Linked DNA regions of Solanum lycopersicum. The protein of the gene in region 2 interacts with the protein of the main gene of each other region in a pairwise test. Links are inferred from orthologs where the notes say so. Each region holds a gene or a part of one and is shown on either strand. Other genes may lie near its edges.

The links.
Region 1: the proteins of SWI3C (region 2) and SWI3B interact in binary tests that used the Arabidopsis thaliana proteins (3 or more experiments, as listed by UniProt). The link is inferred for Solanum lycopersicum from reciprocal best matches to the Arabidopsis thaliana genes SWI3C and SWI3B.
Region 3: the proteins of SWI3C (region 2) and ATP-dependent helicase BRM interact in a two-hybrid assay, tested with the Arabidopsis thaliana proteins (3 studies listed by BioGRID, with this or other methods). The link is inferred for Solanum lycopersicum from reciprocal best matches to the Arabidopsis thaliana genes SWI3C and BRM.

The regions. Positions count from the first base shown.
Region 1 is NC_090803.1:68,202,500-68,206,635, reverse strand, and holds the start of SWI3B (SWI/SNF complex subunit SWI3B), read left to right. Parts: upstream 1-1,289; 5' UTR 1,290-1,357; coding exon 1,358-1,592; intron 1,593-1,703; coding exon 1,704-2,128; intron 2,129-2,457; coding exon 2,458-2,829; intron 2,830-3,713; coding exon 3,714-3,852; intron 3,853-4,136. UniProt on the Arabidopsis thaliana protein: Component of a multiprotein complex equivalent of the SWI/SNF complex, an ATP-dependent chromatin-remodeling complex, which is required for the positive and negative regulation of gene expression of a large number of genes.
Region 2 is NC_090805.1:40,538,088-40,541,740, forward strand, and holds part of SWI3C (SWI/SNF complex subunit SWI3C), read right to left. Parts: intron 1,690-3,653; coding exon 1,616-1,689; intron 1,540-1,615; coding exon 1,355-1,539; intron 1-1,354. UniProt on the Arabidopsis thaliana protein: Component of a multiprotein complex equivalent of the SWI/SNF complex, an ATP-dependent chromatin-remodeling complex, which is required for the positive and negative regulation of gene expression of a large number of genes.
Region 3 is NC_090800.1:82,012,519-82,016,616, reverse strand, and holds the start of ATP-dependent helicase BRM, read right to left. Parts: upstream 2,911-4,098; 5' UTR 2,592-2,910; exon of another isoform or gene 2,480-2,591; intron 2,327-2,479; 5' UTR 2,271-2,326; coding exon 2,109-2,270; intron 1,200-2,108; exon of another isoform or gene 202-1,199; coding exon 1-201. UniProt on the Arabidopsis thaliana protein: ATPase subunit of a multiprotein complex equivalent of the SWI/SNF complex that acts by remodeling the chromatin by catalyzing an ATP-dependent alteration in the structure of nucleosomal DNA.

The DNA.
Region 1 (4,136 bases), on a different chromosome or scaffold from region 2:
ATAAGTAGTCTCTTTTCATGATTAGTTCAATTAATTTTTTCATTTGGTGCCAGCTTATATTTGCAATACTTAAGTATTTGAATTTGCTTAAAGGTCCTTTATGTGGTAAGCAGTCCCGTTTCAGTGCCATTTGCATGTCATCAATATGAATTGAAGCTGCTGAGGAGAATTAATGAAACTCTGAAATAATCTACTAATTTGATATGCAGCCCTTTAAAAAAAGGAAAAAGACACTAAAAAGTAATTTGGTGTATGTAGATTATGTAGCAAGGTTATCCTTCTCCTAGATATCACATATTAAAAAGCTATCAAACCTTTTCTAGTCTTAACGTCATTTGCGTTGATGCAGGTTATAAAAAGTCATACCCACACCATGAGAGCTCAATGTCTGAGTCGCTCCTGATGATTGAGTGAGGAAACATGGAAGTTGCGGATTGCACTTCCTTCAACATCATGTATCTAGGCCCTTGCATTCTGCTGGTTTCAGGATCACTGGCAGAGAGTCATGCATTTGAGGGATACTGGAATAGGTTTCTGGCTCCCTCCTTGTAGCAATAAACTTTGTAAAAAATTCACATCAGAATCAACCTGTGATTCAGTTATAGTCAAAAACTCCCAGAATATGCTTTTGGGTGTGTAGATAGTCATTGTCTTGCGTGCTGGTGCACCATGCACCGTGTTTAAAAGTCTTGTGCATAAAAAACAAACAAGCTTTAGTCTTAAACTTGAGATTCATTCTGTAATTTGGATGTTTTATTGATGATTCTTGAAGCAAGAAGCTTCAGTTATTATCACCAAGGTTGGTGTGACATGACCATAATTTTGGGTGCAAAAGCAGTGTTGCATCATTTATTTGTGTTTGGTACTCAGAGCAGACTTTGCCAATGAAGTTTATATTATTCATTCCCCTTTAACCTATTCTGTTGAATATTACATCAACCATGTCAATGTCTCAACTCTCAAATTTGCGTTTGCTGTTCCTTTTCCTATATATTCAAATCTAGTTTTGTTTCATGATTCAGGTTTAGTGATTTAGTTGTCTTTCTTAAGGATTGCAAATCTCTTTCATACAAGGTATTATTCTTGTTTATAGCAATCTATCGGTCGATGTAAAACCCACAAAATAAAAATTAATAGGACGTTTGAGTTGTAATTTAGACATTAATAATTATTAAGTGTTTTTTTTTTTTAATTTAAAAAGGACACAAGCAAACCTATTACTAACTAAGCTATTGGTCAAAATAAAATTGGCCCTTCGTATAAATAAAACCTTATAATTGTCTGTTGATAGACCGTTTGTGCGTTTCATCTCCCAAATGCCTTGAGATTACACTTGTCTAAATTCTAACGCTTCAACATGCCCGAATCAGGCGAAATCAAGTCACAGGCAGCTAAATCTGACCCTCAAACTACCTCTCCGCCACCGTCGCAGCAACCTCAAACGGCTGCTTTGCCACTAAAGCGTCCCCAACAACTGGAATCGTCCCCAAACCCAACAACTCCTTCAGTCACCGATCCCAAAGACGTCACTCCCACCACTATCTCCTCCCGTATTACTGAACCTGATTTCATCTATATTCCCAGTTATTCCCGTAAGTCCCATCTACTTTTCAGCTTTTCTTTTCAAATTTGCTTCTGTATTTTTAGGGTGGAATGGATATAGATGATTCGTGATACTTAATTAGTTCTTCTTCTTCTTTTAGGTTGGTTTTCATGGAATAGCATTCATGAATGTGAGGTTCGCTTTCTTCCTGAATTCTTTGATGGAAGGTCGCCTTCCAAGAACCCTAAGACATACAAATACTATAGGAATACTATTATTCGTAGATTCAGAGATAACCCCACTAAAAAGATAACCTTTACTGAGGCTCGCAAGACCATTGTTGGAGACGTCGGCTCAATTCGTAGGGTTTTCGATTTCTCAGAGACATGGGGTTTGATCAATTACACTGCTAACTCTTCCAAGTCTCTGATCAAGTGGGAAGAAAAAGAGTCAAAGTCAACATCTGCCTCAGCTCCGCAAAATGCTGACGCCAATGGAACGTCCACTGATTTTACTCTCCCCAAGAAAAGAATCTGCAATCTCTGCAAAACAGTTTGCAGGATTGCTTGTTTCGCTTCTGATAAGGTGATTGCAACAGTCCTCTATTTTAGAGTGTTTGCTTTATCTTGTTTATTCGTAAATTAGAAGGACTAATTGGTATCTAACAACTCTTTTGAATCAAGTTTGAATCTTTTAGCTTCTCCTCAGTTGGTCATGCTTACCTCTTAGCTCTCACATCTCAGTCTATAGATTCATACTTTTCATAGCTCATGGTTTCTATTTAAAAAGTTCTCTTCTTTTTTTTTTCTTTTTTTTTTGCTTAATCCTAAATGGCAGTTTACTTGAGGTGTTGGTTGGGCTTGTTGCTATTGTCAAAAATGAGTTTACTTCAATTTTTGTTTGTTTAAATGCAGTATGATTTGACTCTTTGTGCAAGATGCTATGTTAGTAATGATAATAGAGTTGGCGTGAATAATTCAGAGCTTCGACGGGTTGAGATTAGTGAGGAAGTTAAGACAGATTGGACTGACAAAGAGACTTTGCACCTTTTAGAAGCTCTTATGCATTATGGCGATGATTGGAAGAAGGTTGCTGAGCATGTTGGTGGCAGAAGCACTAAGGAATGTGTGGCTAGATTTGTCAAGCTTCCTTTCGGTGAGCAGTTTATGGGCCCTCCTGAATCTGCAGAAATGGATAGTGAATCCAGGTCTGAAACTATGTATCTTCAATCTAAGAGAAGGCGCCTCACACCCTTTGCTGATACAAGCAACCCAATTATAGCACAGGTACTAAGTCACATTTCTTATTACATGGATGTTTTAGGATGTTAGATCAGTGTTTGGGAAGCAAGAAGCAAAAAACAGCGACAAGGGTTCGCTTTACAGAAGCGAGAAGCGTGAAGTTTGCGCACACTTTTTTCAGATAAAGCGGTATTTAGTATAAAAATAATAAAAAATATTAAATAACTGAATAGAAGTAACATATTCCTAGATTAAAAAGTAAATAGATTGTCAATAATCCTCGTGAGTCATAACATATAAAACAAATACATAACCAAATCACAAAGGATCAAACTCTTATTCTTCATTGTGACATTGAATAAGAAAATACAACTTACTACAAGCAAAGATAAAAGAGTAACTCAGTAATAGAACAACAAAAATACTGTAGAAAAAAATATAGAGACAGAACAGATCAGCAGCCAGCAAAAAAGAAAAAAAAAAGAAAAAAACAGAGCAGCAGTAAGTCAGTTAGATATACATGTTCTATTTAGTATTGTGGACCTTGAATATTAAAAAGAAACTGGACATCTGTTAAGTGCTTGTGCATACAATATTCCCTTGGATACTTTGCAAGTTCAATGTAGTTGCTGAAGCAATTCCAATTTCTACGCTATCAAGGGAACTTCGGTTCCCATCTGACTTTGAATTATTTACGTAGATCTTAAGACGTTCTGCTGAAGCAATTTCAATTTCTACACAATCAAGGAAACTTTGCTTCTCATCTTACTTTGATATGTTATATAGATCTAGGGTCATTCTTCTCCCTCATTGACTAAGAGTCTTTTGGGCTGCTGATTTCTTGAAGTAGACAAGTTGATTAATTAGGTCTTTAATAATAGTCAAGTTAGACTTCAACTGATTCCTCTTGTTTTTGAATCTTGCTGCAGGCTGCTTTCCTCTCTGCTCTTGCTGGAAAAGAAGTTGCAGAATTAGCAGCACATGCCGCTGTTACTGCTTTGTCTGAGATTGGTGAAGGAATAACAACAGGGAGTCTAGAATCTGTACTCTGTGGTGCAGAGCGGCAAGGTATCCCTATTATTTGTTGTGGTTTCAACAGAGAAATCCCTATTACTGCAAACTTTTTTGATAAGAGTACTACTGCAAACTTTAGACATATGGGGTGTCAGCTTCATAAGAAAGGAGTTTGTCTAAAGTGAAATCTGATGCAACTCTTGTCTCTTGGTTTGTGCAGTAGTATTAGCGCATTTGCAATGTTAATTAATGCGTCTTCTTGGTGCATTGTTTGCTGCATTCTTTGACAACAACTTTTGGAATGTAAAATGCCAAGGGCCATCTTTACTGACATCCTT
Region 2 (3,653 bases):
TGCGGGTGAGAAGTGGTAATTATTTAAGTTACTTACCATTGATTTCATGCCTACGGTTTCAAAAATATCAAGCAAACACAAGAAAAATCATACTCCTTCCTTCCCACTTTATGTGGTACAACTTAGGCACAAAGTTTAGGGAAAAAGGAAGCCTTAGACATGTGTCGCTATAAATCATTTCATTAAAGGGTAAAAGGGGAATAACAAAGCTAAATTGTTTCTAATTACAGAAAGGTGACATTCTTTCTGAGACAGACTAAAAAGGAAGTATATCCCATAAATTGGGACGGGAGTAGTAGTATCCAATGATTACCTTCCAAGGAGAATTTGAAATTTATCAACAATTTATATTACTGGCATTACATTCTCTACCATCATAATGTAAGAATGTCCCCCACGTGAGGGAATGAGTTGTTGTCTCCTTATATGGTCTTGAACAATCCTCAACTTCCACCTAGATTTTGGGTTGGCCCAAGATCTATTTTCTTTGAATAATCGGGTCAAGACCCATCCCTATTATTGGTTTATCCCATGGTATGTTGTGGACACTCCAAATGTCCGAATTTGGGTGTGTTAGAATGTCCTACATTGGTTGAGGGAATGGATTGTTATCAGATTATATGGTCTTGGACCAGTAGCACCTCATGAACTTATATTTAGGGTTGACATAGGTCAGATGATCATTTTCTTCACATAGAAATTTGATCTTTTTACCAAATTCATACAGAGTAGAAAGTTAACTATAACAAACCATGTCCTATGCAGACCTTCCTATACACCAGACCTTGGTCATATCATATGATGATTGAAGGTGATAGAAGAGAACGAGGTAAAACCTAAAATCAAGTGGAGACACATTATCTCAGAAGTCCACAAATCTAGATATAACTGTGATGTGACAGAGAAATCCTTGTGAGGTAAATTATCTAGTGTTGAAATAAAATGTGCTTTGAACAGAGTGGAATGAATAAAGATTCATAAAGTTGATCTCAATTCTCAACTAGTTTGTATCATGAATTATGAATTTATCCACATAAGGTATTTATTATGAATTTATGATGAACTAATCAGAACCTCAAACCACAGCTCTCCAGTTACATCCCTCAAACCCGAACTCTTCCAACTTTTTTTTAACCCAAGTATCACTACTAGCAACAAAAAAACAAACTTCAGCAGAAGTTCTTCAAAACCATTGTAATGCACCTATAATGGCCCGAATACTTGGCAAAACCTAAATGCCCGAAAGTAAAAGATGTCAATAAAGACTCAACCAAGCAAAACGCGAAGAAAGAGGATGAAATGGACTCAACAGGAGGCCAAGCGGAGATGAATAACTACAGTATCAGCAGATCACCTGATGGTTGACTATGTTTGCAGATAACCGCTGAATCTCACGTTCTTCATGGTCAGCAAAAAGCTTTGATTTTACAGCTGCAGCTGCAAGACCAACTTTAGCAGCAGCTCTTACACTTTCAGTGGATAATGGAGTCCCTCCAGCATCATGTTGACCCCATGGACCTTGTCCTGCTGCCTTATCATCTGAGAAGATTTATATTAGAAAATATTTGAAGAATGATACAAGAACAGTATGGTACTAGCTCAAATTTACAGGCACCTTTTCGCTGATACGAACTTCCAACATCTCCATGAGGACTTTCATTCTTTCCAGGCATTCTTCCTACACTGATCCTGCAAGATTGAAGTATATACCTTGAGATCACTAAGATGATTAGAAATGGTTCATCTGTTGCTCCTCAAGAAACTAATAGACTATGGCATTACCAATGGCTGAATGCAATAAAATGCATGAAGATATTTTTTTTTCTCATAATATTTGCAAAGGGAAGTAATGCTTCCTTATGAAGTATCACTTTGCTGTATATTTAAAAGAATGATACCATTATAAACTTGACTACCTCAAAACACAAATAGTTAAGCTCATTTAAGTTTTCAAAAGGACAAAATTGCAATACCAGAAAGGTGCTCACCTTTTGCCTCATCAAAGGTGGATCACATTGCATTATGATTTCAGCTTCTTCTTCTTCTTTTTTTTTTTTTGTGAAATTGCATTATGGTTTCAACTTTCAACTATCAAAACTAGAGAAGTGTGAGACTGTGAATGCTTCTAGCTCACAGATAATGTTTGACATATTATTCCTAGACTAAATGGCCGACAAATTAGTTTTACTGAAAATGATAGGAGGTGAACCTCTCATTGATAAAACAAGGGAGAGATGTTGGGTATATAAGGAAGCAAGCTTTAGACACTAGTGATGCATTTTAAAGCCACGCAGATCCGGGCCCAAAGCGGATAATATCACTTGTAGGTTGGGTTTCTATAAAGTGTCTTACCCAAGGTAGCAAAGTATATCATGCTACTATAAGTTGCTCGGACTCTGGTGCAAGGGTCTGATACGGGTGCAAATCTAGAGGTTGGATCCTTCAACAACAACATACCCGTGTAATCCCACAACAAGGTCTGGGGAGGGTAGAAGTACGTAGACCTTGCCCTTCCTTTATGGGGTAGAGGTTGTTTCCGATAGACCCTTGGCTCAAAAGGAATGTCATGGGAGCAGGATAGCAAGAAAAATATACAACCAAATAGCACAATAGAACGGTTGGATCCTACATGATGTAAACTTTAAGATCCGTTATAAGATTTGAGGTACAGATCTAAGCACAAAAACAGGTGTGCGGATTTGGCTACAAGTAATTCAAGTATCAAAATAAAAGTATTCCTAAATTATGGTTGACAATTTGAAAGGAAGGAATGCACGAATATTCAACAGCAAGTTCAAATTATTGTTAAGTACATATTAAGTTTGAATTAGAAATCTTCGTATCTATCTCAAATTTCTCTATTGTTCTAGGTCAAAGCACCCAAAATTGTTTGACCGTTATCCGGTACAGATCCCACACCCACACCCATGTCGTGTTGACACAGATGCAGCACCGAAGTAAAGAGTCTGCACAACTTACGTGCCATTGAAGCATTCATGAGCACAGGCAAGCACACGAGCAACAAAAAGCATTAAGACCAACTTAATACCCAAAATACAGTTTAATAGCAGTAGTGCCATTTTGGCTTCAGAGTGTTGACTATAGCTGCTTAATGAGTAGGACAGTAGGTTATTTCATCCAGAAGGGTCGTGTTATTGCCTCTTTCTTCCACGTTTGGAGATGATAACACATACTCTTGTCATATAATCAAGTCCTTCAGTTATTATATGAGAAGAAAAGGCTTCAGCAACAAAGAGAAACAGTTAGAAAAAAGGGTGAATTTGGTCATCCAATCTTTCTTTTTGTAAATACATAAACCAAACCAAAAGCTAGCTATGATTCAGCTTTTATCTTTTTATTCAATTTTTTCGGTTGCCTTTCCAAGTTTGTGTCTATTCTAAACTTTGGAGTTTTGTTGGGCTTATAAATCTTTATCAAAAAAATATTCCCTCCGTCCCATTTTATGTGAGGTAGTTTGACTCGCCACGGAGTTAAGAAAGGAACAAAGAAAGGAAGACTTTTAAAACTTGTGGTCTGAAATGAACGATAGAAATTTGTGTGGCTGTAAATCATTAAGGGTAAAATAGACATTTTATAGTTAAATTGTTACTTAATATAGACACGTGTCGTTCTTTTTAGGACAAACTAAAAAT
Region 3 (4,098 bases), on a different chromosome or scaffold from region 2:
CTGGCTCCTGTTCTGTCCATCCTCTCGAATGGTGGGAGAATCATGCTGTTCAATATACCTCCTCGACTGCTGAGGCAGCTGCATGGATCCAGAAGGTCCAACAAAATTACCCCCACCTAAAATTCCATGGGGACTGCCAGTCTGGAAGGCCAGAATAGCTTCGTTTCCTTCAGGCCTTCTAAGTAACTGTTGTTGTAATGACTACAAAACGAATATCCGATAAGTGATATGTAAAAGTTATTTATAAAAGAAGGTGAGTAATTTAAATAAGACCTAGATTATTGTGATCTTCCTTATTTTTGACAATAAGCCACCACGATATTTTCAGCAGGGGAACATAATAAGACACTAAGATTAAACACAAATCAGTTCGAAAAGAGCAGCTATCATGATTCAACATAACAAGTTTTGACACTTTATTTGAAAACATACCTGGTAAAATATTGTTTCAAAAATAATTTAAAAAAAGGAACAACAATCTCTCCAGACATCAGTAGTTGGAAGCAAACAACGCAACAAAAGTACATGGAAAAATATTATAACAATATAGCATACAAGAAACTCGAGAGAAACTGGTATGACTGACAAAGTTGATAATGCTGAAGGTTAAATACTGCCAGTCAAAAGCATGAAAGAATTTCTAGGGAAATTTGCAGCATTCTGAAGGACAAATACTGCCAGTCAAAAGCATGAAAGAATTTCTCGGGAAATTTGCAGCATTCTATGCACATATTGGACAAAAATACTCTGGTTTAGTTAAGCAACATCTTATTTCGTCCTGTGCTGCAATTCGTCTTCTTCAGTTCACTTTTAATAAATGTGTTTCCTGTTAAGGATAATCAACTCAGAAATCAAATACAGTAAAATTTTAGAAATGAGGACAATTACAACTTTTCAGAGTATCATTAAGTATCAAATTTGGACAAAATGTGTCATATGTATGGACGAAATAGAAGTTTGCACTCCATAACCTAAGAAATGACAATTAATCTGGTATGAGTTAAGAACATCATTGCAGTTAAGAATCACATGGACAAAATGTTGCATATCACGTATGGACGAAATAGAAGTTTGCATTCCATAACCTAAGAGATGACAATTAATCTGGTATGAGTTGAGAACATCATTGCTGTTAAGAATCACACGGACAAAATGTGGCATATCATGTATGGACGAAATAGAAGTTTGCATTCCATAACCTAAGAAATGACAATTAATCTTGTATGAGTTGAGAACATCATTGCAGTTAAGAATCACATGGAAAAAATGTGTCATATCATGTATGAACGAAAAAGAAGTTTGCATTCCATAACCTAAGCAATGACAGTTAATCTGGTATGAGTTGAGAACATCATTGCAGTTAAGAATCACATGGACAAAATGTGTCATGTGGATGGACGAAATAGAAGATTGCATTCCATAACCGAAGCAATGACAGTTAATCTGGTATGAGTTGAGAACATCATTGCAGCTAAGAATCACATTAACTTCCAATACTGTTGGAAATATAAACCTTTTGAATAGGTCAAGGTTAAAATATTAAAGACCTGGCAGAGACGAGCACTTAAAATAAGGAAGAAAAGGTGGAACTATCTATCAAGAAAAAGAAAAATAGGAATCACAACATGCTAGACAATACGTACTTGGTGGAACTTAACACTTCCATTAGAGGGAAGACTAAGATACACAGAGTTAATTCTCTGAAAAGTGAATTTTGGATAACTCTAAAAATCAACAAGCGCTAATACATTTTTCAGCACAAAAAATGCTCTTTCTTACAAAAAGCAAATCACTCTCTCCTTCATACAAAGATTTTCAAATTCCTCCTACTTCCAAAGCTTAAGTAGTTTAGCAGCTGGCATCTCAGTGCTAATTGAACAAGAAAAAGAATGTCTTTCACATAGCAAGCAAATTCATGTCACTTCAAACCTAGTGTTGAACAACATCATACAAAAAAAAAAAGAACTTGATGTCTTATGCGAAACCCACTTCCAAAATAGAATAACAAACATCAATCCTACTTCAGAAAAAAACAAAATGCCACTTGAAACACCCCCTCTTCCTCAAAAGCACAAGTAAAATTCAGAAAAAAAGTTGTTAACCCTAACCTGCCGCTGATGCTGTTGATGCAGCTGCTGCTGATCCAACCCCATATGAGAGGCAGAAGAAGATGATGTTGGAGAAGCTGAGGCTGATGCCGCCGTGTTCCGCCCATGTCCACCACCGGCGCCGGCGACACCACCTTGCTGAGCTCCACCCCCAGATTGCATGCACCCTTGAAAATTCAGCAAAAAATTCTATTTCCTCCAAAAATGTTGCAACTCACCTGAAATTTAATTGATTAATTTCAGAACCCCATCATCAAGAAAATAAGTAATGAAACATTAATTTCAGTGGAAACCCCTGTAGTTTCCTAAAACCCAAGATTTCCCACTTTCCCCGATCCCCAAGGTTCAAATCAACCACCCACCCCCCTTACCTCACCACTCTCTACACCTCTCTGTCCCACACAACTGTACTTTATCTATAAAAATTTTCTCTCTTTTTTCCTGTATGTATAATTTCCTTATTTTCTTGATAAAAAAAGCTACCGAGAATTTTGCTGAGGGTAATGGTGAATGGATTTTGGCGCGAATCTGTGGGCCTATGATAAGATCGGAAAAGTCGCCGGCGATCTTCCGAAGTTGCCGGAATCTCTCTCTATATATGCTGTCTGGTGTGTGTATGTGTGAATTTTCACGCAGTTTGCATTTTTAGTCCAAGCCCTAACAGCTGTTATTTCTATGTGCTTCTCCTTTTTCCCTTTTTTTTTTTTTACTCCTATTACATTAAAATGACAACAAACAATTTTTAGAGATTTGAAAAAAAAAAATTAATTTTGTGAAAAAATTTGCAATATTTTTGTAAATTATATTCCCCTTAAAAGAGTTTTCTATTTATCTAAGTTTTAATGGATTCTATTAATGTATTTGATGAGCAATAATAAATAAATTATATACGTGTAAATTGACATATATATTATGAATATGAAATTAAAAAAGTCATATAAAGAAGTAATATAAATGAAAAATGAAAAATGTGCGATGATTAATGAGCTTGTGAAACTCAAAATCTAAAATATGGTAATTTAACTTGTTATAGCATGATAATAAGTATTTATTATTTTATCATATCATGATTAATAGATATCATTATTATTTAAATAAATAAATACCTTTATAATTGATGTGATTATTTTTCTATAGTGAGACTATATTATTACATTACAAGTAATTATGTGAACGCTATAAAAGATTTTTTGACTGGTAAAAAATTTATCACTCTTCTTTTAAGAAATCAAATAATATAAATATTGTATATTTTTATCATATAGATATGGAGAAAATTTACAATTTATTGTACTTTTATAAAAAAAAAATTAAATATCTAAATTTTTAATTTAATTTAATGTTGATAATCAATTAAATTAATTTTGAATACTATTTTGGAACTGGTTACATTTTTGTTTTTGTAATTATTTTTGTAATTTGTATGTATGGATTCTTTTAAATTTTTGTTGTCTTTTTGCTCAACAACTTGGGTTTACCTTGGGTTAAGGGCTGGTTAAGGTATAGAGAGGTTAGGTTAGTGGAATTCATTTAACCTCAGAAAACGTAATATTTACCAAAATACCAACATTTTATAATATATGGAAATCTGATTACGTAATAACGTGTGTCGACGGATATTCCTATTTGGCTTTGCATTTTCAGTCTCTTTTTAGTATAATAATAATAAGAATAAAAAATAATACCAATTTAAGAAATATTAATTTTAACATATATTTTATTTTATGTATGTTATAAAAAAATGTTAAATTAAAAGTAAAATAATTTATTTATTGAAATATGCGCGAAAGGAATTCATTCGACTTTTTATTTGAAAAATTATTATATAGAGCATAACTTCAGAATTTTACAATTCGAATTTTAACTGATTTTTGTCTGAATTGTATAAATATGAATGTATAAAAGAAAATCACATAAATTGATAAATATTGTTTTGGCAACTATAATTATGAAAAGGAAATCGTGAAAAGAGATATTTGAATCCTAAAAA